Linked DNA regions of Astyanax mexicanus. The protein of the gene in region 1 purifies or fractionates together with the protein of each later gene. This does not show direct contact. Links are inferred from orthologs where the notes say so. Each region holds a gene or a part of one and is shown on either strand. Other genes may lie near its edges. The genes, in order: gtpbp4 and mrto4.

The links.
Region 2: the proteins of gtpbp4 (region 1) and mrto4 purify together in Homo sapiens (affinity purification with mass spectrometry; 3 studies listed by BioGRID and IntAct, counting the BioPlex papers as one, with this or other methods). This does not show direct contact. The link is inferred for Astyanax mexicanus from reciprocal best matches to the Homo sapiens genes GTPBP4 and MRTO4.

The regions. Positions count from the first base shown.
Region 1 is NC_064411.1:28,251,963-28,268,043, forward strand, and holds the start of gtpbp4 (nucleolar GTP-binding protein 1), read right to left. Parts: upstream 5,710-16,081; 5' UTR 5,615-5,709; coding exon 5,567-5,614; intron 4,138-5,566; coding exon 3,967-4,137; intron 3,521-3,966; coding exon 3,417-3,520; intron 3,236-3,416; coding exon 3,099-3,235; intron 2,996-3,098; coding exon 2,895-2,995; intron 2,047-2,894; coding exon 1,954-2,046; intron 1-1,953. Other genes in the region: slco5a1a (solute carrier organic anion transporter family member 5A1a), read right to left, coding at 8,564-9,018, 9,702-9,766, 10,682-10,917, 12,580-12,739, 12,932-13,130, 14,115-14,279. UniProt on the Homo sapiens protein: Involved in the biogenesis of the 60S ribosomal subunit. Acts as a TP53 repressor, preventing TP53 stabilization and cell cycle arrest.
Region 2 is NC_064431.1:3,984,421-3,999,376, forward strand, and holds mrto4 (mRNA turnover protein 4 homolog), read left to right. Parts: upstream 1-6,939; 5' UTR 6,940-7,037; coding exon 7,038-7,065; intron 7,066-8,100; coding exon 8,101-8,159; intron 8,160-9,057; coding exon 9,058-9,161; intron 9,162-9,282; coding exon 9,283-9,364; intron 9,365-9,453; coding exon 9,454-9,521; intron 9,522-9,715; coding exon 9,716-9,867; intron 9,868-11,337; coding exon 11,338-11,414; intron 11,415-12,511; coding exon 12,512-12,664; 3' UTR 12,665-13,091; downstream 13,092-14,956. Other genes in the region: iffo2b (intermediate filament family orphan 2), read right to left, coding at 3,612-4,117; aflatoxin B1 aldehyde reductase member 4, read right to left, coding at 14,801-14,956. UniProt on the Homo sapiens protein: Component of the ribosome assembly machinery. Nuclear paralog of the ribosomal protein P0, it binds pre-60S subunits at an early stage of assembly in the nucleolus, and is replaced by P0 in cytoplasmic pre-60S subunits and mature 80S ribosomes.

The DNA.
Region 1 (16,081 bases):
TGGGTAGGGTGCACCACTACTAATACTATGGCCTAATCCTATTTCACCCCTTTGCCCTACCACTTACCCCTAGCCCTCTGTTTTGCGTGTGCATGCCGAGCATTAGGAGTGTCCAGATTCTTGTTAGGCTGGGGGGTAGGTTAGGGGAAGGGATAGGGCTTGTTAGGCCTTCATACGGAGATTTTTCAGAGGAACACTTAAAACTGAGGAGTATGAGAATCGCTAATAAGAAACACACAAATGTAAATATTTTCCCTGTTAAAAGTGAGAATTAGCACAGTATTACCAAAGTTTATTGTGTAGTTTTAATGTTTTATGGCCAAATGCTTCATAAAAAGATTGCTAGTAGTTTGTCTTAGTAGCTAGCTAACTTTCCCGCTCCACCTTAAAAGGCGCAACAGACGGCAGGGGCTGCAAAATTTAAGGCTTAACGAGAAAATAAAATAAAATCAAAGCAAATCAAAGCTAATTTCAGCTCCCCTTTACAGACAAATTAAGAAACGGACAATATTAATTAATTTTATCTCTCCCCTTTCTGAAGATATACAATTAGGCCTTAAAGTTATCTAGTTAACCAGCAGCAACTAGGTTGGGTGCTTGAGGATTGTCGCAATTCTTAGGGGGAGGATTTCACCCCCTAAGGGTTACACTCAAAAAGAAGGTGTAGGGGGCCTGAAGAATCCGTGTATCATTCGTTCATTTGATATTCAATTGAGAATCAAAATCGGAAAATTAAAAAACCAATTCGTTTTTTCGTTTTTTCGTTTTTGAATATAATACCAAAAAACGAATAACGGCTTGTATTTTGTATTTTTATTTGGTTATCCAAACAAAAATTGGAAATTTAAAAAACGGACCAGGAGCCGAATTTGATTTTGATTTTGAACTTGACCCATTTGTGTGCCCCGGAAGTTACTGATTTGTTTATTCTTGGTGGGTTTCTGTTGCGCGGGAGTTCACTGCAGTGTTATCTACACAGTCTGTATTGCTGTAGGCTTTGGATGGAGTTGAGGATGGAGAGTTTTATCTTGTTCAGAGGAACTAAACGCGTTGCAGTGAAAGAAGACGATATGACAACAGAAAAAATCGGCAGGATCTTTCAGGTGTTTGTCTAACGTTCCGTAGCTAAATGTCATATTTAGTAGGCGGCAATTCACAGAATAACATTAAATAAATATGACATTTAGCTACGGAACGTTAGACAAACACCTGAAAGATCCTGCCGATTTTTTCTGTTGTCATATCGTCTTCTTTCACTGCAACGCGTTTAGTTCCTCTGAACAAGATAAAACTCTCCATCCTCAACGGCCCTCTCCAATTCTGTGTTCGATACATGTCTTTTTCGCTTAAGGTCGTGTTGAACACAGAACCTTCTAACACTCATTGCAGAACATCGCTGGATCCCCATTTGCTGCAACGTGCACGAAATCTCTTCATGCGTCTTACCACCTTCAAAAAGATCTTTAATTAGGCCAGAATGTGGTTCCAGTCCGGCCATGCTGCCTACAGCAATACAGACTGTGTAGATAACACTGCAGTGAACTCCCGCGCAACAGAAACCCACCAAGAATAAACAAATCAGTAACTTCCGGGGCACACAAATGGGTCAAGTTCAAAATCAAAATCAAATTCGGCTCCTGGTCCGTTTTTTAAATTTCCAATTTTTGTTTGGATAACCAAATAAAAATACAAAATACAAGCCGTTATTCGTTTTTTGGTATTATATTCAAAAACGAAAAAACGAATTGGTTTTTTAATTTTCCGATTTTGATTCTCAATTGAATATCAAATGAACGAATGATACACGGATTCTGAAGCTTAGCTTGCTGTTGTTACTTAATATTTAAAACATTTTAAACTGAATCTAATATCCCTATCATAAGCATACTAGAATTTTCTTACAGCCTTTTATAGATACATAGTTAAAGCTTAATGAAGCAACATAACACTCACCTGCCAGCGCAGATACTTGTAGTCCATGTGACCCACAAACAGAGATTTAGTAGTGAAGGCATATGGCTGTACCTCCACATCTGCACGGGTTACCTGTGTGCACACAGTCCTCGATTATTACAACACAGACTGCACAAACTGTCTCAGCTCTGGTTACTAATAACATTACTTCTACTTTCACACAAACAAAATATTTGCACCCAGAAGAAATCAACCAACAGGACTGAAACTTGTTAATCATGCCTGACTGTCATGGACAAAGGCGACCAATAAATCAGTGTGTGGAGGCAAAGTGATCTGAGCCACAATCAATGATTTATTGCCATACATAACAGAGGGCAGAAGGCCTGGTGTCATGGTTTGGGGTTCAAATTCGTGCAATGCTAGATCACTTTTTGTCTTCATTACAGGCACTTTGACTGCCCAAAGTTATGTCAATGACGTCCTGCAACAAGAGGCCCTACTTTTCTATAACACACATGCAGTGCGCTATTCCAATGTCCTGTATTCTTCTGAGCTTGCCTTAAAGACACATATACATGCCATGGCCAGTTGCTTCAGCAGTCCTATCCCTGATTGATAAAGGGCAGGATGCTACTGGATTCACCCATCAACACTCCAGATTTTCCCAACTGTACAATCTTTAGGAGCCGAGTATGAATATTTTAGCTGCATGTGGATATGGATTATTACAGGACTCCATTAGGAACCTCTACAACTCCATGCAGAGACGTCTGGCATGTTGTGTTTCACGCCACTTATGTATGTGTAGCTTAATAAATAATGACCAATATTAGAATAATTACAATCTAACATCTTCTGGGTCCAACTTTTTTTTTTCAAAACATACACGCACCCCACAAATTATACCTTGAACTTAATAATGTTCCATAAAAAATGTAATCGTAACATTCTCATTTCCCTCTCTATCACACACACACCTTGTTGATGAAGCTGGATTTGCCGACATTAGGGTATCCACAAAGCAACAGTGTTCTGGTGTTTGGATCAATGGTAGGCAGACGTGAGAGATGCTGACGAACTAATAATATACAAGCACAAGAAAAAAAAAATCATTACTCATCCTCTGTAAAGTTAGGGACATTAGATGGCTTGCTTTGCTTTCATTTTGTGTGAGTGTTTACCTTGCTCCAGGTACTCCAGACTCTGTTTCTGTCTCTTTAAGATGGTACACATGCGTCCGAGTGCTGCTCTCTTCAGCTGCTTACAGCGATATAAAGAGTCGCCATACTTCATCAGGCGCACATAGTCTTTAGCAACGCTACATTAACACACAAGGAATAAACACATTACACAGATATATATATATATATTACACAGATGCCGTATTAGGTTTTCACCCGGATGATAAGGAAATCAGAAGCAAATTAATCATACTTGTAATATATGTTTAATAGTGACTTTTCTTTAACTAGACCTCTTACTAGAACTAGAATACTTACTTATCAATTAGGTTCTTGGCAATGTTGATCTGACCCAGAGCCAGCTTGTAATGGTCCTTATCGTACAACACATTCATCAGATCAGCATAGAATGGGTGGATATCCTAAAAGACAGGGAGAAAAAAAAAACAATACTTAAACCAAATGTAACACCTTCCAGATGAACAGAAACAAATAGACCAGCCACAATAATTACATCAACTTACAGTCTAATATACTGTATGTACACGACCTTAATACTATTTGCTGATATTAGCAGTACTGACTATATTAATCTTAGAAAGGAAAGCTCCTAAATGGCCGTGAAGGCGCCGATATGTTGACAAATTAATTTATTTAGGATATTTAAAAAATATGTACTCCAATAATGATGTCCAAATGGTCTTAATAATTTATATTTCATTGGTTCTTAAATGGATTGCACACAATTGTCTTACAATGACAATATATTAATAAAATAAATATTCTATAAACAATAAAGCTATTGTAACAGCTATTGTATTGTAACAACATGCAATAGCAATTTCCATGTTTAACTGCTTTAACTCACATCCAGCTTTGGGAAGTCAGTGAGGATCTGCGTCAGGCGGTCGTGGTAGTTCTGCTGGGTGAACTTGACCTTGCGCATGTAGAAATGACGGATGCGGTGGATCTGATAGTGTTTATGGATCACAGTGGGGGTTTTACGTTGTGTTTTGGACAGCGTCACATCTATGAAGTCCTGTCAAAATAAACAGAAGAAAAGGGATTACATTTAGGTACATCACATACAAATGACTACTGTAGATAATGCACATCTTGCTAGGTTAACACACTAAATATATTAGCTTGCTATTTATATTACCTGACTAGTTTATCTAGTCTTTTATTATAAAACAAAATATATACTGGTAAAAAAGGTCACATCTCTTGACACATTAAATACATACAGCTAGCAGGCTAACCATGTTCTATAGTTATAGATGAATACATTCTATTTTCTATATTTTGTTTAAATTTTAGGAGGTATCACTTAATGTACATAGGTTATATATTCAGAATTCCAGTACTAGTACAGAACATTCCCAAAACATAGGGCTCAAACCACCACTGGTTGTTTCACACCGCTAACAACCAATCTCATCTATAACATCGAAGATATAAGTTAACTAGCTATACTATTTATATTAATTGTGTATAGCTAATTAACCTATTTTATATGGTGTTAGGTAGGTTAGTTGTATAACTAACCATTTGGTCTTTGAGGCTAATATAGGCTACTAAACTTGATGTGTTAAGTAAAAATACATTTCCACAAACATTGCACTGTTTATAATTTAACCATTACAAAACATTATCAATAGGTACGGCTCAAAATCTATTTTGACAAAAAAAAGCATCACATCGGGCTACCGATGTTCTAAATCTATAGTAGCTATAGTTAGATATAATTTAATTTATCAGTTTTAACAGAAGAAATATGTTTAGGATAAAGATATGTCTATATTTTCACATCTGTGACATTTTAAATACATACAGCCAGCAGGCTAGCAATATTCTATAGCTGTAACAGCTGTAAATATTTTTATTTTTTATCTGTGTTTTCAACAGAAAAATAAGTCTTTATGGTAAATAAAGCTATTTCTATATTTTGTGTGAATTATGTGTGGTGTCACTTAATGTACTCTGGTTTTAAATCCAGAATTCAGGGACTAGTACAGAACATTTCCAAAAACACAGGGCTCAAATCACCACTGACTGTTTATACCTATATCTAGCTAGGTTAACACACTGAATACATTAGCTATACTATTTCTATTTACTGTGTATAGCTAGTTAATCTAGTTTACATGGTGTTAGGCAGGTTAGTTTAGGTCTGTGCGGCTAATATAGGCTACTAAACTGAATATGTTTGGTTTTAATATAAATAAAACACAGAAATTACATTTTTGGAAGTGTGGGTCAGTCATAGGAGCTTTAGGTTAGTTAGTGGTGCTGGTGCTGCTAAGGCCGCAGGTCCGGTTAGCACGAGCTCTTTAACTTAGCCCGGACCAACGGCAGCACGTGTCTATAACCCTCGAGCGCCCGACCAGCGCTAACACCCCCCGCTCGCGCTGTATTAACCCCCGTATAAACCCGCGGGGCCGGGGCTCGGGCCCGGCAGCTCGTACCTTGGCGGTGGGGACCACCATGATCTTTTTAAAGTTGTAGAGCGCCATGTCTCCGCGCGCCGTGCTCCGCTCCTCACCGCCGGAAAAGACCCAGTACAGCTCAACACGCGGCCAAGCGTCAGCCGCGCATGCGCACAACAGCGCAGACACGCACGCGAGACAAGCACGCGCCCACACTGCCACCACGTGGTTAAACACATGGCTGGTTTATGTAGTATGGTCTATGTAGTTCTATTAGCTGCAGATTGTAGTCCTTTATCTGTTTCTCTCCACATTTAACATGTTTAAGGTGGTTTAATAATGTAAGACATAAGATAGATCGACATTATAGCATTAATATACTTATATTGTTAGCTAAATGTAAAGTTAAAGTTAAGAAGAACATCTCACTCTTAATGGTCTTTGAATTTTGCACTTAAAAATAACATTGCTGCCAATGTACAGTCTGCTAAAGCTCACATAGCTACTGGAAGCATGTTTTGTGGACAGATGAATATAAATATATATTTTTTATTAATGGAACAATACATTCAGAACTATTCCAGCAAATTCAGTAGGAAACTTTAAGGACACAGGTCTGGGAGCTGAATCTCACAAAATTGTGGGTCATGCAGCAAGACAATGACCATAAGCACACAAGTTGTTCTAACAAAGAATAGTTAAAGCAGAATAAAGGTAATGTTTTGTAATGGGGCCAAGTCAAGTCAAAGTGTGATAAATTCAGATAAAAATGTGGTCAGTGGAGCTGAAACAGCAGTTCATTTAATGAAATGGCAATGAAACTGTTCTGTATGGAGGAATCTATATGGTTTACATGCTTTAAAGCATGGTATTACAAGTTAGGCAAATACTTAAAAAAATCCATTACTTCTGCTCTACTGCCCCCTATTGTTTTAGACCTGGATGATTGTCCTTTGCAATATAAACTAAGGACTGACACTGGACTCATAATAGTTTACAGTCTGCAAAAGTACATTCTGTCAATGGTCATTTTGCTCACAAACAATAAGCAAACAAAAAATGTCTTTGTGTTGGACTTATAATGAAGTGTTGTATTCATCATTTAAAACAGCACATTTGCAAAAGTGTGGATATCCAGGAAAAGACAACCAACAGTTTTTTTTTTTCAAAATATCTTTAATTTAGACATTAAAACACCCAGTTGCAGTTTTTTTTCTGATAAGAAAAACAGTTTGAAACACTTTGAAACAATACTTAATTCCTCTTCCATTATTACTTGAATCCAGTGTAGAAGACACACAGTCCCTTTAGTGCAGATCAGCAGTGAGACGGTTTCCACTGCGGGTAATACTTTTTCACTTTGTCAATACTTCTCCAATCTCCAAAACACAACTTGTTTCGATTTCGTGTGAGAGTGTTCAGACCTGTAGGGTTGAATCTTTACAGTTGTTTTTAAGAATGAGAGGAAAGTTTGCATAGTATAGTTTCCAGTTTGAGTCCCAGCTTATTCCTCCTTACTGCAGTCCACAATACCTGAAACTGATATGAACAGCCCAATTCACTAATCAATCAACCAATCAAGCCACGAGGTGAGTGACCAATCAGAGGCTTGGTGGACTAGAATGTGAGTGTTCCCGCAGTACCAGCAATACCAGAGTCTTTTTAACGGTGCTGACGGATGAAAACACACTAGATGACAATGAGAGGAACTGACAGGACTGGGGACAGACAAGTGTGTGCAAAAAAACCCTGTAAAATGTATCAATATAATCAAGAGACTTTGTGCGTGTACGGGTAAGAAGAAAGGGATACAGTACTGGCTCCGTAAAAACAACCATGAGAGAGAGAGAGAGAAAGAGAGTGTGTGTGTGTGTGTGTCTATACTCATCATAAAAAATAATAGTTACCCAGAAGGAATCATTCAACAGGAACGTGACTTAGTGGGTAGATGGTCATAGTCACATTTAGATGGTCAACTCTCCACCTCTACAGCTAAGCCTGCAGGAATGGACAACTCCATACTGAGACGTCTGACATGTTTTGTTATGTCTGGTTCACAATATATGTCCTTTTGAGTCATCAGGTCATTGTGTTGTTCACACTACACAACTGGTTGGGCTGTAATTGCGAGTCGTCTCACAATTTTCTTCATCTGCCTTCTCTCAAAAACGTGTTTTAAACGAGAAGCAAGAGCTAAATGCACGCGAGCACTAGCGATGCCACGTAGAAGATATCTTGGTTATCAAGTGGTTCTTTCTTTTTATGCTATACTATTGGCTGTAGGTAGTCAAGTTCCTGTTCACTGTTAACTCACTGTTGCCGACTGGTCTAGATATTAAACCTGCTAGATATTTGCTTGGTTTTTACCACTCTTCGTTAATCACTCTGTGACAGCTCTGCAATTGCTTTTCTGCAGTTTACAACACAACTGAACGAGAGCTTCTGAACTGAGTTTTTTTGCAAAAAACAAACAAACAAACAAAAAAATTAATGCTGACCAGAAGGCTTGTGTACTGTGACTCGTGGTCCGACATCAGACAGAGAGATGCCACCTCTGTATGTGTAGATCAATAACTAATGCCCATATCAAGTTTATTTATTTTTTTGTTATTATTTCCTGATCCTTGGAACATTTATCGTCCTTCAGAATAGCAATCCAACGTTTCCTTCTGGGTGCAACTATTTTTTTTATTTTATTTTTTTTTACTATGAGTGTGTGTGTGTGTTTGTGTGTGTATATATGCATGTAAAAGAAGAAGGAGATACTGGCCATGGGTCTGTGTAAGGATAAGTAAAGAGGTACAGGTCCTTTTGAGGTATTGAGTCCAGTGTTTTCCAAACCTTGTGCATGAGTGCGTGTCTAATTCAGAAGAAAAAGGCACCAGCAATGGCAAAGATGAGGGAACTCTTCACATTTGGACATTTGGAGCAAAGCTGGAAACTCCACCTGTTCTTCAGGTATGCATGTCCTATAAGTATGTTTAATAATGCGCGTGTGTGTATGTGTGTGTTTATATCTGCAAAATTCCTCATATCTCATATCACCACCTTCTCCAGAGACCTGATCGGTGGAGTTATTGCTTTCAGGCCATTGCCAGGACAACTGTTGCCACGACTGAGGGGCTGACCGGATGCTATTATAGCAGTGTGGCAGGGTTCAGGGGGGCGGGGCAGGAAGACGGGACAGGAACGTGTACGGGCGTGACCCTTGTGCCCCCCTGCGTGGCAAATCAGCTGGCTCACTGTGTCCAGTGGTGATACGGGGCGGGTGTGCGAGTGCGTGTGGTCCTCGCGCCGCTTCAGCGAGTACCAGGTGAGGAAGATGAAGAGGAAGCCCAGGAACTTGAGGCTGGCGGCCAAGCCAAAGTAGACAAAGCGCAGGGAAGTGACATCATACTCCCAGCAGGAGCCGTGAACGCCACAGTCCTGCTGCCACAGCATGCAGGTGGTGTCAATCACTGCGCCAAAATAGATGGGAGTAGGTATGTAGGCTGGAGGGAGAGAGACGAGTACAGTTAGTTCATTTTCTCCCCAATCATTTAACACACTTTTAAATTTAACATGTAAAATGACACTGATACTGATTTTATGTGGTTTAACATTTGTATAAGCATAATAATGGCTAATTTGATTGACATATGACCACATATAGACCTACAGACATGCAGTTCAAAATAGTTAAGCAGTTGTTTACTAGCTAATATTTTAATTTCCTTTTAAAAAATACAGTTATGGAAAATAATGAAGAGACCACTTCAGTTTCTGATTAAGTTTCTCTGATTTTGCTATTTATAGGTATATGTTTGAGTAAAATGAACATTGCTGTTTTATTCTATAAACTACAGACAACATTTCTCACAAATTTCAAATACATACATTGTCATTTGGCACATTTATTTGCAGAAAATGAGAAATGTCGGAAATAACAAAAAAAGATGCAGAGCTTTCAGACCTCAAATAAGTTCATATTCATAAAGTTGTAAGAGTTCAGAAATCAATATTTGGTGGAATAACCCTGGTTGGTTTTTAATCACAGTTTGCATGCATGTTCTACTCCACCAGTCTTACACGCTGCTTTGATAGTCACACTCAATATAAACAATGTCCTACATTATATTACACTCATATTATTCGCCTAATAATTTTATACAACACTTTTTGCGTGTGTCCATACCAAGAGTCCTGAGAAGAACAAACTGCATTCCCAGAGCAAACGGCCGCTCCTGTTCCTCCACAGACCTATGGATAAATAAGGATAGATATGTATTTTAACCACAAGCTCTCACCATTTTCACGTGTAAACATTAGAAATGTCATTGTTGGCAAGGTCAGTAAGTTGGATGACCACTACCCCACCTCATCCAACTCCCCAACTCATCCCAGAAGTACTGACTGGAACACCATCATTCCAGAGATCAAAGTTCCACTCCCCAATGACTCAAGGATTAAAGTAAAACTTAACGTGAAGCACTGCTGTCACACTGCATACCACTTACAAAGCGTGAACTATTCAGACAGATGTCAGACATTAAATAGATGGTGTGAACAGCTTAAACTAAATATCAGATTTAGTCAGAAAATAAGATTTTGGCAAAAACACATTTTGCTGTGAGAATCTTGCCAAATATTTGGCAACCAAACAGTGTAAGACACAGAATAAAATAGAAGATAAAATAAATTAACCATTGTTTTGTATAAATTATTTGAAGTCTTATTGCAGGGTTTCCTCTAACTTCAGGATTTTTTTTTAAATCACTGTTGGACAGAAAGGGACAATTTAAGTTTACAGGCTCTATTCGAACAACATAAAGTGCTCAGCATCACTTTTCACTTTTGTTTACAAACTGTCTGTTTTCCAGCTGAAAGATATGAGCTGTACAAGGCAGGAAAGTAACATTAGCTGAGCATTTGATTGTTTATCAAAAGACTGCCTTGATCTGTGTAAATTTTCTGACTTGAGTAGCATTGCTGAGATAAATGTATGGTTAAAATTGCACTGCTGAAGTAAATTCATGTTTAGGATAGCACTGCTGAGGTAAATTCATAATTAAAGTACAGAGGAAAGCATGACAGATATAGATTAACCACTCATTCAATTGTTAAAATGGCAAAATGTATACGTTTTTCTACATAGAGAGAAAGCCTGAAATATACCTGAGGGTAACAATGATAGCCGAAGGCTGGGCACAAGCAGTGATGAGGGTGACGATGAAGAGGAAGATGAGGAAGGTTATGAGAGTTCCACAGGTGCGCTCGCATTTGCCAGCAAGCGCATAGCCATTCTCGTTTAAGTACGTCTTCACAATGACCAGTTGCAGCTCGTGATTTCCTCCGGAGGGAGTGATCACCTGTCTGCTCTGTACACACGCACAGTCCGAATAGTTCTTCATCTGTAAGGAAAAAAAAAGGATTACTATGTGTGTATTCACTGTCTAAAGAAAATGAATCCATATGTTGTTTTCATGGGAAGAATTTGTTTAAAATAACTGGATTTTATTAGGGCTATCATGATTAAGTATATTAATAATTGAATAATCTTACTGCTAATTTATTACATATATGTTTTAACAGGTTATATCGACAACCCAAACTTTATGCAGATTTACTTGCTTATCCAAACAAAGCTTTATGTGATCACAAAAAGGACTGCTTATAACCTGCATAATTGACATTAGGGGTGGGTAATATGGCTCTAAAATAATATCACAGCATTTTATGGTATTAAAACATTGAATTAAAAAAATAGAATATTAAATATATATTAAATAAGAAAACATATTTCAAGAGTACACTACTGCAACAAAATGAAAATTACATTTTATTATTGCATAACATATGATATTGCAAGCTAATTGAGACAAGAATGTTATCAGATTTGTAACAGAATTAAATGATCCAGAATGTTATGATACTAATAATGCACTCCCAATATCTCCATATATCCAAAATAAAAGTAAAATAAATGATATATAATCTGTCTCTAGTAGATATTAAATGTGAAATGAGAACAGTGTGAAATTTTCTTTTGATAAACCCAGTTAAAAAAAAAAAGTAGTACCCTGATGTGATAATTAGGGGTGAGTGATATAGCACGATATTTCAGTGTAAAATGTTGTTCATGATATTCAAAAACGTTGGCGAACGATACGGTATGGCACAACCCTACTGGACATACTCACACACATTAGAGAAAAGTGCTTTGGTAACGAATAATGTAGACACAGTAATAATATTGCAAAACTGACAAGATAATTTTTGGTCCTGTTTAGTCTTAATATAACATTATATCCAATACTTTAAAAGGAATATTGCTCGTTTTTCTTCTACATTTCTTCTATAATTTCCTGATCTGAAATGTGTTTAATTTAACAGATATGTATTTAATAAGTGTGTACATACACTTTACATTATTAAACACTAGACTAAAACTAACAATAACTAAATCTAATACACTTTTTAATGAAAAGATCAAAATCAATAAATTAAATTAAAATTAACAATGCTGTGTGTGTTACAAGTGTGTTGTCCTGACATTTGTTATTTATCACACTGGGAAATAAAACTTTTTTAGAGACAATATCATTACTTAATCAAACTGAATTGATTTAAGCAAGTGAGACGGAACCATAAATCCTACATTTTATCAGAGAATTCTAAAATGTTAGTCAATTTATTTATAATTATAGTACATTTTAAACAACATTACTTGACCAAAGTGCTGCACAAATACAAACATTAGACTACAGTACATATAAATCTAATTTAAAAGAAAGGAAAATATCAGGACATCAGTCCATGAGCTGAATCTTAACAGAGAAGGTGGGTCATGCAGCAAGACAATGACACAAGTTGTTCAACTAAGTCAAAGTCCTGAACTTAATTCAATCGAAATGTTGTGGAAGCACCTAAAGTGAGCAGTTAATGTGAAGAAACCTCTTTCGGGCCATTACAGGATAGATACATTTTTGCATTTTCTTTTGAGAGAAATATTGATTTAAAATCTCGAAACTCTTTTGATCAAAACTCTGTTAGAAATAAGTATAAGCCCTTACTCCTGAGCTGTCGTTGGAGACACTGTTGCAGCCAGCCAGGCAGGGGTTAAAATACGTAATTCCATCTGAACCGCACACTGGAGCGTAGTCATGCATCCGGCAACCACAGTTCACATTACACCCTCCAGTTAGATTCCGATGAGACAAAGTCAAGGTAGGCCTGAAAAGAGTGTGAAGGGAGAAAGAAATAGAGAGAGAGAGAGAGAAAGAGAGAGAATAATCAAATTAGGCAAAACAGTGGATTTTATTTTCCAGCAGGACTTGGAACTTGGAGTTCCACTAGTACATAATCAGCTGATATATTATTTGCTGATAAATGAGTAAATAGATCATTGATGTTGAATATTCATACCCAGTAGTGTAGGGAATGTTGATTCCTCCTAAATTTATGCTCTCACAGCCAACGATGAAAAGTGTGGAGAAACAGAGCAAAGACACTCCACTACAGATCATGGCTAGTTTAGCCGACTCTCTCGCGCCCAGCTTCAGCTTCTTTATGATATATCCTCCCAGCACTATCCCCACACCAGCACTCGGCACAATGATCAACCCTGCAACACACACAACACCACAGGAGAGAGAAATAAACACTTACAGTAGGGTGGTGTGATTACTTGTATTTTCTTCTTTATCACAATATGGAGGTAGAGTGAGGCATAGTTTCACAAAGAACCCACACACCAAACTTCTACTTAACCTGATGTAGTAGCAGCATCCCCATTAGTAGCAGCAGCAGCAGCGTTTCAATAACTACTAAACCATAAACCATGTTTTTTCCAATAATAGCTAAAATGTGTTCCTTTGAAAGTAATTAAACATACCAGACCTGCTTAACATTTTTATGAACATTTTCTAACCTTAAAAAAAAGCCTTTTATTGTAGACATTTCTGCCTCCGCAGTGCTCTCTCAGGTTCAACTGTGCTATAGGCGTGGAGGATGTTTCTGTGTACTTTGGTACACAAAACACTCACAATATGCAGATCAGTCTATCAATAATAACGCCCCCCCTGCTGACACCCAACCACCTGCGTCTCACCACTATCAGAGGTACACTGCTGCTGCTGCTCAGCCAATCAGCTATTCCTTCTGCTTATCTCTAAACCCATACATCATCCAGGGCCTCTCCCAAACTACCCCTCCCATTTTTCAGGCTTTTTCAAATATGAGTTGAGTCAACTGCGGGTTTAGTGCCCCTTTAAGACACAAAACCAAGCAAAAATTGCATCAATGTTGCTGCTAACCCATTCAAGGATGACTGCTTTGTCTGTTAGCATCACAGCACTAACATGCTTACACCTAGTCCACTCTGTTAAGGTAATAATATAATGACTGGCCACTCTGTCTGAACCCTTTTCCAATGTTCCCTAATTAAGATTAATTAATTAATTTATTGCTTTTTACATTGACATTGTGATACCAAACAGCGTTACTGTATATCAATTTTTGTTCATATAGTGTGCCACTAATTTATAGCACAGCCATCTGTGTAGGAGTTCATCTATGTAAGATTTGTATTTATTTTATTTCTTTTTACCTGTGTAGATGCTGGCACTGGATGCTGGAACCCCAAACTGGGATTCAATGAACTTGGGGATGAAGGTGATGAAGGCTGTGACGATGGCACACTCCGCTGTGTACGACAAACTCACGAACAAAAACGTCACATTGCTTAGGATACGTACAGCTGCCTTCGGCAAGTCTAGAGGGGAAAAAAGAAGCCAGAGAGAAAGAGACGAGAAGAGAGATTTAATTTCTATACGATTATAGACCTTCATTTGGCTTGAGTACAAAGTAGACAAGGTAAGTGATATTAATTGAGAGATTAATACTCAGCTAATCTAACACCCCTTTCTCTGTTCCATTCATAATAGACAATATAAAACATCTGCAGTATCTTGCAAAGTGAGTACACCACTCACATTTGTGTAAATATATTATTAGATCTTTTCATGGGACAACAGATTGGCTTTATAAAAATAATTGCTGCCAGCATTGCTGCAGAGCTTGAAGAAGTGGGAGGTCAGCCTGCAGTGCTCAGTCCTTCCGCCACACACTGCATTAACTCTGCATTGCACTGTCTGCATTGCAAGAACGGAGCCTCTTCTGAAGCTGATGCACAAAAAAGCCTGGAGCTGGGCAGGGGAGTGTACCGGTGTTTTATGAGGTGCTGGACTGCGTGCTGGGCTCTCCGACTCCGTCCACATCAGCAAACAGTGCCGGTACGTTTACTGAAAAGCATCGCGGTTCTTATGAGTCCAAACAGAACTAGAGATCTTTTGATGGAAAAGCGCTATAAGATGACAACTGACTTGCTGAGGAAGCTAAAGGTAAAGGTGATGGACTGGCCAAGCATGTCTCCAGACCTAAACCTTACTGATTTGTGGGGCATCCTTAAATAGAATGTGGAGGAGCACAAGGTCTCCAACATCCACCAGTTCCAAGCCTTCAAAAATCCGTTACAGATATATAGCAGTGGATCAATAAAGTTTAGCAACCATAAATGCTGCAGCCTCTGCTGTCTGTTGCAAGTTTTTTTTTAAATGCTTGTTATAAAGAAAATGGCCATAAAACATTTAACTACACATTAAGCTATGGTAAAATAGTGGTTTTCATCACTTTTAACAAGGAAAATACTCAAATATGTGGGTTTATTTGGTCGCTTGTGTCCCATCTTGCTAGTGATGGGACAACCCACTTTTTTCCACCTCCGATCCGATTCCGATATAAAACTGATATAAAACTGCCGACACCGATACAAATATCGATACTTTCAGTTTATTAATAGTACTATGATTAAGATCACATAATGAGGCTGAAACAGATCACACACCCCTTTAAATAGTATACGCAAGTGCATTTAATGTAAATGCATTCCAAAGTCATTTATTTGACACACTTTATATGCAAGTACACAATAGTTTCTTTTCAAATTAAATGTTTTAATTTTTATTAAATTTTTTTAAAAAGTTAAATATTAAATACAGGGCTTTTTTGTTTGCAACAGTTGCGCAGGAGACATTTATTTTGACAGGTAGCATAAAGGATTGGCTGCAATAGCTTACAGCTAATCAGCCATACTAACTGTGTTTTCGAGCTGAATTAACTACGGTTTTTAATAACTGTGATTTTTTACTGCTGGTAAGAATAGTGGGTAGGGTCTGTGGTTTGATATTAGTTGTGGATTATGGCTGTAGTTCTGCATACTACATTCACAATGCCGGAATGCATTTGCTAGTTAGGCTAACAGACTGTAGATCTTAATAGAGATGGCTAACGGCTAATTAGCGATGCTAACTGTATTACCACTGTTTTTTAATAAAAGATGGGTGTGTTTGTGCTGGTTCGTGTTTGTAGATCCTGTGGTTTTATAGGATATGTGGATTATGACTATAGTTTACTCCAGTCTGTAGTTATAATACCTTTACAACACCAGAATGCAGCTTCTGTCAGTTCAGTGCTAGCTCGGCTAACAGACTGCTGATGGTAATCTGTTTACCTCTC
Region 2 (14,956 bases), on another chromosome or scaffold:
TGTTCCTGTATAGTTTTTAAATAGTCTTCCATATTAAATTTACAATGTAAAAAAAATCATTAAAAGAAAGAAAACACATTGAATATTAAGAGATGTTTCCAAACTTTTGATACAGTGTTGGTACTGTATGTTTTCCCAACAAAGTGGCAACGCAGTATACTGTATGTTTAGCCAGCCATTTGTTGGTGAATGTCCACTGTTTTCATAAAGCAAATGAATCCCAAAAGCTCATAGAAAAGAGAGCAATGCAGAAAAATACAGAGAACAGGATGAAATGTCCCACATTCCTTTCAAATGACTTCAAACACCTAAGTAATTTTTGATCAAGCGCCCACATACGGCTCAGTCGCTGCTCATTAGAGCCAGAAGTTCTACAGAAGCATCTCCAGGCAACTCCCTTAACAAACAAACAAGCCTGAAAAACACAGAAGAGAAGTTTCCTTCTCATAAACTGGCGACTACTGTTTCCTTTTTTCTGCCACAAGTGATTCAGCTCAGAGATGTGATAATTATCTGATGATACTGTGTGTGAGGGGAAAACAGGGAAGTGTAGGGGGCTTCTAGTGCCTCCAGTGTGGGACGGTTCCAGAGTATATACCGTACAGTACATAACATCATCAAAAGATTCAGTGTAAAGTACAAGTCAGCCAACAGTCCATACTGGATGCTGGTGATCTTCGGACCCTCAGGTGGCACTGCGTTAAAATAGGATATGATTCTGTACTGAATATCCACAGAAAATTGTTCAGTTAAATGTCCCATATTCATTCCTTCCAAACAACTTCAAACACCTTAGCCATTTATGATCAAGTATCCATAAGTAGGTAATTACAGCCAGAAGTTTTACAGAAGTATCTCCAAGAAATGTCCAAGTATGTATTATAAGAAAGCCAGTCAACTATGGAAAAACAACTATTTAACACTATTTAAAGGAACAATATGTGAGTTCTGAGAGTAAATAATTTCTGCCACATGCTAATGCACCAGTATCTCAGACCAAAATTAATTGTTTATTGTTTATTAAGCCTCTCCTGCTTGATTATTACAATGGTGTTACAAAGACCAGGAAAAGCAGCTACTAAACACACTTTAGAATCTTCAGCCTGAATGCTATGTTTGTTAGCATTGCAGCTCCAACTCTACCTAGGCCAACTGTTAGCATTGCTGCTCCAACCCTGCTGAGCCAGGCTTATAGCATCATGGCTAACTTGGTGCAACTCTGCTAAGCCTGACTGTTACTGTGTAATTGTGACTATCCTGATCCAAACGGCCAAAGATCCGAACAACGTCATTACAGAAAAGTCAATCAATTTGGCGACCAACTTTATTAAGTTATTTCTAGTTATGCAGGACCAGCTTTTCATCTATTTGAATAGGGAGAGACCACAATTCTGGAAACTGAAGGTCAGATTACTGTTTAAAAAAGACATTTTAAATCGTGATAAAGACTAGTAGTAGCGTTTGTCTTAATAAAGCACAAAAAATGAGATTATTCATACTGGTATGGATAGTGAGCTTGCACAGATCTCCATAATGAGGAAAGGCTTCCCCACCAGCATGCCAACACTTGATCTCTATTGGACTGAATTGGCTCTTTTTGTTGAAGGGCTTGACTTTGACTATCCATAAACAGCGACTAAGTTTAGTGTTCCAAGAGATAGTCTCCATATTAATAACGTCTTTGACTGTATATTTTATCAAAATATTGCTAGAAAACTTAAAAAGTTAAGAAGGTGCACCATTTTCAATTCCTTCCATGGTTTGTAAGTATAACATCCTTACAAATACAGTATTAATTCACCTGAATGACCATGTGATATTACTAAAATCTAGGAAAATCATCTGTCCATTTCAGTAATTTCCCAGCTGACACATATCTGATTCATCCCATCACTCAACGACTCCATGATGTGATTCCACATCCAGTATTTGACTAAGGAAACTGTGCTGGACACCAGCCTCGCAGAACTAGAGTTAAGGACCCCTGCTGTGGGCTATGAATTACTTAGCTATGCTGAACCAAGAGCCTTCAATACCCTTTATTCATCAAAGCCTGTCCTCCAAAAACACATTTTAAAAACACGCCCCTTCCTTTGGGTTCCACTCTAAAGCAGTCTGGTCATTTTTGCTGTTCTGCTGCCAAGATATTCCACTGCAATGAATCAGTCTGCCTTCAGCAACAAAAAACATGGAGCAGAGGCTTTAAATCCAGTGCAGTTCTATTAAGCTGTAGACCTGCCATGTTTGGGAAATGTTACAAAAAGGCAGATTTCAGGACTGTACTGTAAATCAGTCTGTACTCAAGGAGTCAATGTTTGTAGGTATTAACTAATTTCAGGACCAGCTGTGGTTTTATAGCATTGGGCCTGGACTGGGGCTCAAGAGATCTAAGTCAATCTAAAGCCATATATAATCAGAACCAGTCAAAGGTTATCTTTATTCATTTCTACATTGTAGGATAAAATGCAGAATACCAAAAGTGTTTGCCTGCCACAGTCACATGACCTAATGCCAATTAAAATGGCTTGGGATGAGTTAGACCACACATGCAAAAGAAAAGCAGCCAACAAGTTCCAGACATTCAAGACTGTTCGAAAACAACTTTAGAAGACCTTTATCTCACATAGGCAAATATCTCACATATTTCACCTTAAATTATGTTTAGTTTTGAAACCACTACTATTACACTTTTACTTGAGAAAAAGCATGAGTTGATACTTCTTCTATTTCTATCTGAGTAATCAATAACTGTAACGAGTAATGATGCAGCACATAAAAAATGTATCGGAGGAAAACTATTAAACTCATCCAACATATGTGGTAAAGTAAAAGTGTAAGTAGGAGAAAAATAATACTCCAGTAGATACAGATACAGTATTTTAGTACTTAAGTACAGTAGTGAAGTAAAAATAATACTCCAGTAGATACAGATACAGTATTTTAGTACTTAAGTACAGTAGTGAAGTAAATATAATACCCCAGGAGATACAGATACAGTATTTTAGTACTTAAGTACAGTAGTGAAGTAAATATAATACCCCAGGAGATACAGATACAGTATTTTAGTACTTAAGTACAGCTCTGGAAAAAAATAAGAGACCAGTTTAGTTTCTGCTTCTCTAATGTCGCTATTTATAGGTATATGTTTGAGTAAAATGAGCATACACACTGCTTTTGGATAACTTTATGCCACTTTATGCCACAATTTGGTAAAATCAAAGAAACTCATTATTTTAAATGGTCTCTTATTTTTTCCAGATCTGTACAGTAGTGCAATAAAAAATAATAGGTAAGTTGTTAAGTTTCTGTTGCTACAAAACAACAAAAACGAAATTAATAAATGAATGAAGAACAATGTTTTAACATGTGTTTTGTTGCAGAAGTATGTATATTATTGAAATGAATTAAATATTTTTTCCCTATTTTTCATATGGTAATGTTGTAAAATTGTTTAGGGCCCCCTATTTGGGACTCAGTATAAACACAGTAGGCTGTAATGCATATATATGAATTTATGCAGTATGAAAGCACATGAAGATAAACATGCTGGAGTGCTGAAATCACTCATCATTTAAAAATATAAACTAGCCTTATTTAAACAGGACACTTACTTTCTCTTGTACTCGTCCCTCTCTCTCTTCACCTTGGCCAGTACGTTGTACAGGGCTCGGAGCTCCGGAGTGATGGTATCGATCTGCACCCCGACCCCGTCCGGATGGGTCCAGGACACCCCGGGCCCGTGCAGGGTCTCCACCCGCTCCCCGGACCTCCGCACGTGCGTGTAGCTCCAGATCGTGCCGGGCAGCCGCGGCTCCTGCGGGGAGTCGGTCTGCACCGCGACGTCCCGCGCGAACAGGCTGTGGTACCTGGCCCGCTCGGCGGCTTGCTGCAGCTGGCTCTCCAGCAGCTTGTTCCGCCGCTCCAACTCGTGGACTTTGGCGAGGAAGCAGCGGAAGCGCAGGTTCAGCGTCTTCAGGACGTGGATGTTGGAGCCCAGGTCGTTCCTCAGGGCGGCTGCGGGCGCTCCGGACCCTCCGATACCACCGATACCTCCCGGGAGGGTCGTGAGCATCGCGGCGGCCGGGGGCAGACCGTCGCCGAATAGCAGCGAGCTCATCCTGGGTTGAGCCACTGTGTGTAGCGCTGCGGTACGGCTGCTGCGGTACTGGAGCCAGCCGCTCTATCTGTATGATAGAGCTAGCGCTAGTTAGCTATCCGAACAGTCCAAACCCACTGTTTTTAACGTCTGCCCACGTCTAAAACATCCAATAAACCTCCAAACTCAAGCGGAACAGTGACGGCGAGTGACTCCACCATCACTATGCGTATTTTCCTATCTTTTCAGCATGTTTCAGCAGTTTTTAACCAGTTTGTAATTATTCAGTCCATCCAGTTAGTTAATTCGCGTCTCAAGAGCGGGTCAGCTCGACTTCATCCTGAGAAATCGCAAAAAAATAAAATAAAAGTTTTATTTCAGCTTTTATCACTTAAAACTCACGTTTTATACTACTAATAATAAAGCACTGTCACCTCCCCGAGCTGTCACCTCCAGCTCCTCTCACCGCGTGCTCCTTCAGCAGTAGCAGCAGCAGAAATTCAGCAGCCCGGTTTCTTGGTTTATATCCAGCAGATAACGGGTCGTATTACAGCGGCGCTAAAGCGCAGTGACCGCATCGAGAGCCACGCCCCCCTCCGGTCAGAGGCAGGAGTCGGACTGCAGGGCTACAGGCCACGCCCACTACAAACACGCCCATTGCATAAACCACGCCTACATTCGTTCCATGCCCATCCTATGCGTTCAGATTCTGAGGAATAAGATCATAAACTAATAGATTTTGATAAAAGTAAATAATATATATTATTTTAACTCAAGTAAAAATGTGAAACTGCTTAAAGTATAAAAAAAAATTTAAACCATATTGTCTATAATATTAGGTTAAAATGTTAACCATTTGAACCCCAGCCTATTTTGTCAGTTCCCCTTTGACTTGTTTAATAACACAGTTATGTTAGGAGACAGCCACATGCTATTATTTTCCTTCATACCAGAAGACATAGAGCTGCTCAAAAATGTCATAATTTGAGAAGTAAATGTTCCAGAATTTATAAATCTTCATGGAATTCATTATGTTTTGTTAAAAGGTATAAAAATATATAAAAAAGTATAAAGGTATATCACAGTATAAACCAATAGGGTGTCGCAATGGTATATGTTTATACTCCTCATCCAATCTATTTTTAAAATTTAGGGAGTAAAAAGTTCAGATAATTGTGTGAAAATGTGAGGAGTAGAAGTAAAAAGTCATCTAAAAAAAATACTTTCTCCAGTAAAAATAACCTTTTGAATAAGAATAGATCTCCAACAGATTAAAACACAAACAAGTCAAGTGCGTAAGGCAGAGTGGAGTGTTCACGGCGCACTTGTGCAACTTTTTTTATGAACATAGTTTGAATTGTTACTTTGCTATATTGTGATTATTACACCAACTTTATATAAAATAAAAATAGCATTAAAAAAAAACTACGCCTACGTCACAGACACAGCACTGCTGTATCTGATCCACCTGTACCAGCACAACACACACTAACACCTCATACACCACCACCATGCAAGTACAGTCACTGCAGTGCTGAGAATAATAAGACCTTCCATCAAAATAATAACAGTAATAGCTGCTCTGTGGTGAAAAACTGGATGAAAGGAAGATAATAATAATAAAGTAACAAATAAAATATGTAAATAGAAAAGTAAACAGATACAGGACTACAGTCTGTAGTTATATAGAACTATAAAGTATCCTATGTGATGGGTTTCTGTATATTTGCCACAGTAACAAGATATGATTCATTCTTTGCAAAAGCTTAAAAGCCTATTGCTGTATGTTATGACCTGTCTTTCCATCGTTATATAATAAAGGTTAATGAGCCATCATCTCTAGAGAAGAGTCAAATTATTATATAACCCTGCAAGCGTGTGCAGTCTCGAGCATCCTTCAGAAATAATCATTTCTCTGAAGCATCTCAGTACCTGCTCTTGAAACACACCTAATATGAGTACATTCTTACATAACCGTGGGCTGTTTTATAATCTGATTTCTACAAAGTGGCTCAGATGCAACTCTCCTTACATTTACTCAGAGGAAATGTGTGTTTTGTACAGCTTACCTAGCAAAAAATACTGATTCTTCTGCTTTAGAGCAATAAAAATATGCTTTGTATATCCACTTTTGTAGATTAACTAATTTAAACTGAGAAAGATTGTTGTAATGGAAAATATTTGTTCATATTGAGTAATTTTAAAGGTTTTGCAGCCGTGGCAAGAAGCAGGCTGCAATACTGCAGTAAATACATTATATTTTCAATAGTATCCAGACAGGCCTCCTGTTACTATTACAAGCTGCACATACTGCTGACAAAGCTAGTCAGGCATACTGTTGTACAGAGTGTATGTATGATAAGCTCCATAGAAAAGCACTGACCAATAGAACGGTGTTGGCTAGAGGAGTATAACGACCCCCGAGCGTTTTGGGACTGTGTGGCAGTGGAACTGTGTTCTATGGAGTGATGGACCTCCATTCAGTGCATTAGGGATGAGCTAAAGTGGCATTGTAATCCATAGCACATCATCCAACATCCGTTCCACAGTAAAATGAATGTTTTAATGTGTCAGGGAATGCAGGCAGAAAGACGTGGAGGCGGACGCAAATGCAGGTAATGCGAATTTTTATTAAATAAATAAACAATGGGGGGGGGGGGGGATAAATACAATAAATACAATGGGCAATATAGTTTAACTATATTCAATCCTTTAGAAGAATTCTCCAAATCAGTGAAAGCATTAAATTGGAAATTTGAGACTCATTTATTTTGTTGATTTTGGCGCCACCTGTTGGTGAAGAGCTGTAACTTTCTCATCACATACCTGCTTCCTGCTTCACACATGCTCTCTCAGGCTCTGCAGGCTGCGGTAGGGGGCAGTGCGGGGTTTTAGCGCAGTTTCTAAGTCTTAGAAGAAGAGAGAGAGCAACGTGAGAGCCATGCCGAAGTCGAAGAGGGATAAGAAAGGTATTTAAACCGGTTTAAAAGTGTTTTCGTCGATATTTTACCTCAATAATCTGCTTTATTCTTAAAGAAGTCACTGACTCTTCTTAGATTAGCATTAAAACCTACAGAGAAACGGCTGGGCAGCATGCCTGGCTAACAGGCAGGAGCTAAACACTACCAGCGTGTGTGTGTTTGTGTGTATGTACATAGTTTTAGTAAAAATATGGATTATTTTCTGGCTTTTCTTCCTTTTTTGTACATAAATAACAGTTAAGCTGTAGCTGGTGATGCTTTGTTAGCTTTTTACACTCATTTTGGCCCTTTTAGCTTGCTGTAAACCAGTCAACGTAGTTAACTTAAACAGTATGGGTCTGTGGATCATGTAGTAATGTGTATTTATATGTTTGTTTTTTATGTGTTTTGTGCCTTTTCATTAATTCATAAACCTTCTTTCTCTACAGTCTCCTTGAGAAAAACAGCCAAAATGAGTCTAGAAGCAAAGCAGAACCTATTTATATAGTTTTAGTAAAACAAAATAGTTTTAATAGTTTTAGTAAAAGTTTTAGTAAAAATATGGATTATTTTCTGTCTTTTCCTCCTTTTTTGTACATAAATAACAGTTAGCTTGCTGTAAACTAGTGAACGTAGTTAACTTATCCAGTATGGCTCTGTGGATCATGTTGTAATGTGTTTTTATATGTTTTGTGCCTTTTCATTAATTAGATAACCTTCTCTCTTTACAGTCTCCTTGACAAAAACAGACAAAAAGAGTCTAGAAGCAAAGCAGGAACTAATTATTTAGTTTTAGTTTTAGTAAAAATATGGATTGTTTTCTGTCTTTTCTTCCTTTTCTGTACATAAATAACAGTTAACTAACAGTTAGGCTGTAGCTGGTGATGCTTTGTTAACTTTCTACACGTGTTACACTTATTTTACCCCTGTTAGCTTGCTGTGAACTAGTGAACGCAGTTAACTTATTCAGTATGGGTCTGTGGATCAGTTTTTTTTATATGTTTTGTGCCTTTTTATTAATTAATCAACCTTCTCTCTTTACAGTCTCCTTGACAAAAACAGCCAAAAAGGGTCTAGAAGCAAAGCAGAACCTGATTGAAGAGGTTAGTGTTTTGTTCTTTTTCTTTTTTCTTCATATTAGTAAAATTAGGTCTAGTTATTTTTAATACACCCCACATTTACGTCAATTAATTTTTGTTAAGAGCAACATTACTGTTTTTAAAATGTTATCAGTGTCCTACCATGACCTTCCCTGCAACATCTAGAGAGCTAATACTATTGCATCTAAAAAAAATGAATATCATTGAAAACTATTCACATTATTTTATTACAGTAATTCAATTCAAAATGTGAAACTCATATATTATGTAGATGTATTAAACACAGAGCGATCTATTTTAAGCGTCTATTTATTTTATTGTTGATGATTATGGCTTACAGCCAATAAAAACCCAAAAATCTAAAAATTTAAGGATATTATATAAGACCGATTGGTACTTTTGTCAGTGTGGGCAGTGTGCCAAGTCCTGCTGGAAAATAAAATCCGCACCTCCATAAAAGTTGTCAGTAGCAGAGGAAAGCATGAAGTGCTGTAAGATTTTGTGGGAAAACAAAACTGCACTGACTTTAGACTTGATAATAAAACACAGTGGATCAACACCAGCAGATGACAGACATGACTCTCCAAACAAACCATCACTGATTGGTGGAAACTTCACACGAGACCTCGAGCAGTTTGGACTGTGTGTCTCTCCACTCTTCCTCCAGACTCTGCTCCCTTGATTTACAAATGAAATGTAAAATTTACTGATGGTATATTACACTAGTATATTCATTCTATAATCAGGTTGGTTTGTTGGTAGGTTGATAGATTTGTAATCTATAAAAGGACCATAAAATAGTGCCTAACATGTTATATTTCATGCTATGCAATATTCTGTAATGCCTGATTTGATATATGTGTTAATGTATTAATTTGTGTATCATCATCTCTCCTTCCAGCTCAGAAAATGTGTAGACACATACAGATACGTGTTCATATTCTCTGTGGAAAACATGAGAAACAACAAACTGAAAGATATCAGAGCAGCTTGGAAACACAGCCGGTGAGAGATACTAAATATACTTTACTGAATTTTCTGAAACCCCGTTGTTTTAGTGTATTTTATCACAGCTGGAATGCTAAGTTGTGTATTTTCTAATATAAATGCATGTTTTGTGTTTAAGTTTCTTTTTTGGAAAGAATAAGGTGATGATGATCGCACTCGGGAAAGGACCAACAGATGAATACAAGGATAATTTGCACCGGGTATGCAAATTATTTAACTATATTCACAAATAAAGTTATGAAGAAGCTTTTGTGCTGGGTTTACAACCTTGTGCTTGTCTGTCTTATAGGTCAGCAAATTTCTGAGAGGAGAGGTGGGCGTCTTGTTCACGAACAAAACCAAGGAGGAGGTCCAAGAGTAAGTGCTATAGTGTTGAAATTATGAAAAAACACATGGTCTTTGAACCAAAAGATGCACCCAAGTCTGCCTGCCTTGATTTAGTATAAATTGTCTTAATTATCTTCTTTCATAGACTGTGCTTTTGTATGGGGTTAAAATAAACTCAAATCTCGCATTTTGATGCAGTGTTGAATGTTTGTGTCCTTGTTTAGGTATTTTAACAGTTTCAAGGAGGTAGATTACGCACGGTCTGGTAATGTTGCACAGATGGCGGTGACGCTGGACGAAGGGCCGCTAGAACAGTTCACACACTCTATGGAGCCCCAGCTCAGACAGTTAGGACTGCCCACGGCTCTCAAAAAAGGTAAAAAAAAAAAAGCTTTTGGAGAAAAAGTTTTTTCATTTAAAATGATTTAAACCAACTTAATCTCTGATTTTGCTAGAAATCACATTTTACAGTATTCTATTATAAAATCAGAGACCACGCATTGTTTGCTTCTTAAGCTACGCTAAGCAACTACGAGGCCAACGTCAAATTTCATGCCTAAATCAGCAGATGCATCAAATAATGTCAATTTTTTAAGTAATCTCAGTTGATTGGCTTATCCCCTTAAAAGGCCTTGGCCCGTATACAGGCTACAAATGTAGATGATACAAAACCCTATTTCTCTACAATAAAAAAAAAAGTTATTTACATTTACATACAAACCTTTTAGGGCTTTGGAGAAACTTCCTGTCCACTCTCTTTCTACTTTACTTAATTTCAGATTAGTAAAAGGAAAAACCCAAATTCTGCATGTCTGAAAGTATACATGAAAGACTAGACATCTGTAACGAAACTAAAGGTTTGGAGGACAAGCAATGTTTGTATGATGAAAATATTGATTTAAAAAAAATAAGGTTTAGAAAGCACATTGACTTTTTTTTTTTAATTTGTTTTATTTAGACAGGTTTACTTTTAAATGTGTAAATATTTTCTTACAATTAGGATATTTAGTAATGTTTCTTATCATGCACGAAACCTTTTTATGTAACGCTAAATTAGAAAATATAGAAATATCAATTAATAGAAATCCTCAAGATTTATGCAGGTAATATCAGAAAGAAAATTGACAAAAATGCTGTCCTGTTGGTGGTTTAAGTAGTTTTTGACACTGAAGAACACACTTTAAACACTAAAGAACATACCAGTACAGACAAATTTCATTTTTTTGCTAAGGCTGATTCTGCTGGTTTTAGCCAGGTGACATACATTTGTCATTTATAGGGATAAGTGTGTCATACATTTGAAGAAAAAACATAAATAAACCTACTTTTGAGATTCCTTTTAACGTACATGGATTTTGTTAAGTTCCCACTAATGTAATTACACCCAAAAACATAATATAACTTTGGAGGTTTAGTCAAAAATGTAAATAAAACCTAATAATCTAATAACTTGCCTAATGTTGTAAGACAGGCTTATGACTGTATAATACGATTTATATAATACCATGTTATTTCTTATTATATTATGACGTCCAGGCTGATTTATATGTAACACCTCATTCATAATGATACAGGATGCAATTAGTTAAAAGTAAGCTTTGAGATGATTATGTAATCAGATAAGTGATAGTGAAGTGAATAGTTTGCACAGTGCTGTTCAGGTTCTACAAACTTAATTTACATATAAACCACATTAGTCCATAACTCTAAAGAGGTGAGCTTCAGACACTAGCCTCGACTCTCAGTTATGTTTAAATTAATGGGAAATTGTTTTAATTTGTTCCATTGATTTTAATCCGAATTTTCAAAATGCTAATGAAAATGTATAATGTGTGTTTTTTTGCAGGAGTGGTGACATTAATAAAAGATTATGAAGTGTGTAAAGAGGGAGACACGCTCACTCCTGAACAGGCTCGTATCCTGGTGAGTAGCCTTGACATCATTTCGGGCTTTAGTAGGGCTGGGAGGTTCATTTAATTAATTAAATTCATGAAAATAATGTTTTAATGTGATTTCCAAAATGGCATAATTGAGACTGTTCATCTTTACACATAGAAGCTGCAGAGTGAATCTCAGTTTATAGATATTTGTTTCTGTCAGAAACCTGTAAAGAACCTTTTTTTATGTTGCAGTGATTATATATTATATATATTTCACTCTTTTCCTTGAAATACAAGGAGGTTATTTTTGCACCATGTTTAATATAATAAATGCTGCAGTTAAGATAAAAGGGGGCTGCTTACAAAAAAAAGAATAAAATATATGGAAAACTACAGCTTGTGCATCACTTTTACATGGTGGTGTTTGTTTAAAATAAAACAACTGAAGTTGTAAACTGTGTGAGGAATACGAATCTTAATTGTAACACTCGTATTTTAACAATTGAGAATTTTTTTTTTTATTTTATTTATTTATTTTTAAACAATAACATAAAAAAAAGATCTGTACTAATCTGTACTAGACAACATTAAGAGGTATATGTGCAGTTCACAGGTGGAAATGCATACATTATGCAACCATACATTTAATTATACTTTTTAGTTTCTAATTTTCACATGGGTATTTCTTGCTCTTATAAGTAATACTGTTGTAATTAATTCTATAAAAAGTTATTCTGCACATCCTAAAAAAATGTGGCTTCATGTTTTATTGAATTTAGATAATCCCAGTACATTTCAGAATTAAAATAAATGTAATAAAAATAATGATGAACTGTCAGTTTGCTGTAGAGGAAGGTACAGTTTACACTAAATCAGGGTTCTTCGATTTGGGTCCAAAGAGACCAGTGTTTTTTTGCTGGCCTCTTTGGATTAACTCATTAATTAATGATCAGGTTAAGTAGATGTTTCTGCATGATATTATATATAAAATTCATCTGTTGGAGACTTTGCAGCTGTATTTTGTATCTGTATAAAGACCTTAAAAACACTTAGAATAAAAGTGATGTTAAAGAGTGTATTTTAAGTGAATGAAGAGTATTCTATTCACAGAGACTGATCTGATCTCTTAATTTATTCCAGAAACTCTTTGGGTTTGAAATGGCCGAATTCAAATTGAGCATAAAGTGTATGTGGAACTCTGAATCTGGAGACTTTGAGATGTTGGATGGTGATGAAGGAGACCAGAGAGATCTTGAGGAGGATGATGAAGAGGAGGATGAAGGGATTGAATAAACTGGAGGAGGAGTGTGTGGTCAATGGACTTTTTCTCTTGGATGTTTTATATCAGATTGTGCAAGCAGACCTTCAGCAGCAGGTTATATATCTGTGTGTTTTGTTTCTGGAGTGTGTGATCCAGACTAACCGTTACCCAGCAAGTTCAGTTTTGTACATCATTGTGTTTTTGATTCTTTCCTTAAAATATACATCAATAATGGAGGTTATCAGCTTCTGTGTGGAATCCACTACCTCTGATAAGATAGAAAAAAAACATAGGGCTGTTTGAAATTGTTCACAAAACTGTCAGCTTCCACATTTACAAATGACATGTAATTATTAATGGATATTGATCTCAAAATGACTATCAGTAAAATAAATGGTGGATTGGATATCAGGGAAAAAAAAATAGATTAAATCCCATCCAATCCAGATGTCATGTTAACTGTGTGTTTCAGCATTTACTATAGTTTGGAATTTTGCATAATTAAAATGAAAGCTATTCTGTTGAAAAAATAAAAAGTAAAAATATTCAGATTTTAAAGGAGAACTCCAGATTAAAATGGATTTGGGTTGTAGTGAAACGAGTGAATGAGTATAAATTTATGTAAAATAGCTCACCTCTGTTCTCCCTCAGCATTCCTAAATAAAGCGTTTTTTTAGCTGATGCTCCCAGCAAGCTTACAATGCTACTGATGGGGGCATAAATTTACCCGTGCAAAGAAAAAAAAGGCTATTTTGCACCATTAACAAGCTCAAAGTAGCTCCACGCTTTATTGGTAGAATTCTGAGAGCCCTGGCATTTAAAACAAGGCACTGAGGACTTTAAAAGTGCACAGATAGTTTATTAAAAACACTTTATATACACTTCAGGTAGGTCTCGGGGCACCACATTTTTAGAAGGTAGTCGTGAAAACCTACCGCCAAGCACAAACCAAATAGGTAGGTAAGTTTGGGGGGGAAAAGTTTGCTAAATGAATTCTGTGGAAATGCATGATTATATGCATATTATAAAGATATTTTAAACAACAGTTGGAAAGCATCAGGTAAAAGTGCTGTATTTCAGAATACTGAGGGCTAACGGAAGTGGGCTATTCTACAAAGGTTGTTACCATGTTTTACACCAAATTTCTCCTGCATTTTTTTTTCTTTAAAAAAAAAAATCAAGTCATAATACACTTAAGCTCTTTATTTTATACAGTACAAATTAGTAATTCTCTTTTTGTCTTTGGAACTAATTGAAAAAAGTATATTTTTTTCCTAAAGCAGTTTGGACTGTGTGTTTCTCCACTCTTCCTCCAGACTCTGTTCTCTTGATTTACAAATTAAATGGAACATTTACTGATGGTCCGTAATGGTAAAAAAAAAAAAAAAGTATAGGGTATGCTTTAATTTCGCGATTTGAATTTAACGATATAGCTGATCTGCAGTCATGAACAAATGCAACATTATAAGCTTGTCAAGAACTGGTTAACCTGCTAACAGTATATGATGCGTTTTTGCCCAGATTTTTTTCATCTTGGCTATTAAAGCCCAACTTAAACCATCCAAACCAGCAAAACGTGGAAGCAAATTTTCAACAAGGTGTGATATAATTAAAAATGTTTAATATAATTAATGTGCAACTTCATAATTTTGTAAAATTATTTTACTATTTTACAAACGTTTGTTCTTGTTACCAATTGTCACACCAAAAAAAAAAAAATCCTCCTAATTCTTTTTAAAAACTCAAGCCAAAAATACCTAAGCTGTTCCATTTATACAGTATAAATTAGTAATTCACTTTTTGTGGGTTTTAAAAAAAAAAGAAGGAAAAATTAATTAAAATGTATACATTTAATTTTTTGTGCTTCCCCAAACTGAACATTTCTATATTTTTAAACTTTAAATTACTATTATTAGAATTTTCTTTCATTTTCTAGTTCACAAAGTTGTAAGCATATCGTTATATGTGCACTTAAGGGCTAACAAATATGGAATCCACAGCAAATTATTTTTATTATTATATTTATTAGGGAAATCTAAACAAACAGGTGTCTGTAGAATTACAAAAGTTCCTTAAAACATTTTTTTCATAATATTTTAAAGTGCTTATTGCTATTATTTATAGACCATCTGAATAAAACACTGATTTTCCTTAAACTCAACCTGAATCTAACGGAAGTAGCTGGGACACTCGTGGGCCACCAGATTCCAGCCGTTTTTGAAGGCATCCACAACTTCCTGCTTTAAAGGACCTTCTTCAGCTGCTGTTAAATTCTCCTGAAGCTGCTCCATACTGGACATCCCAATGATCACACCATCACCAAG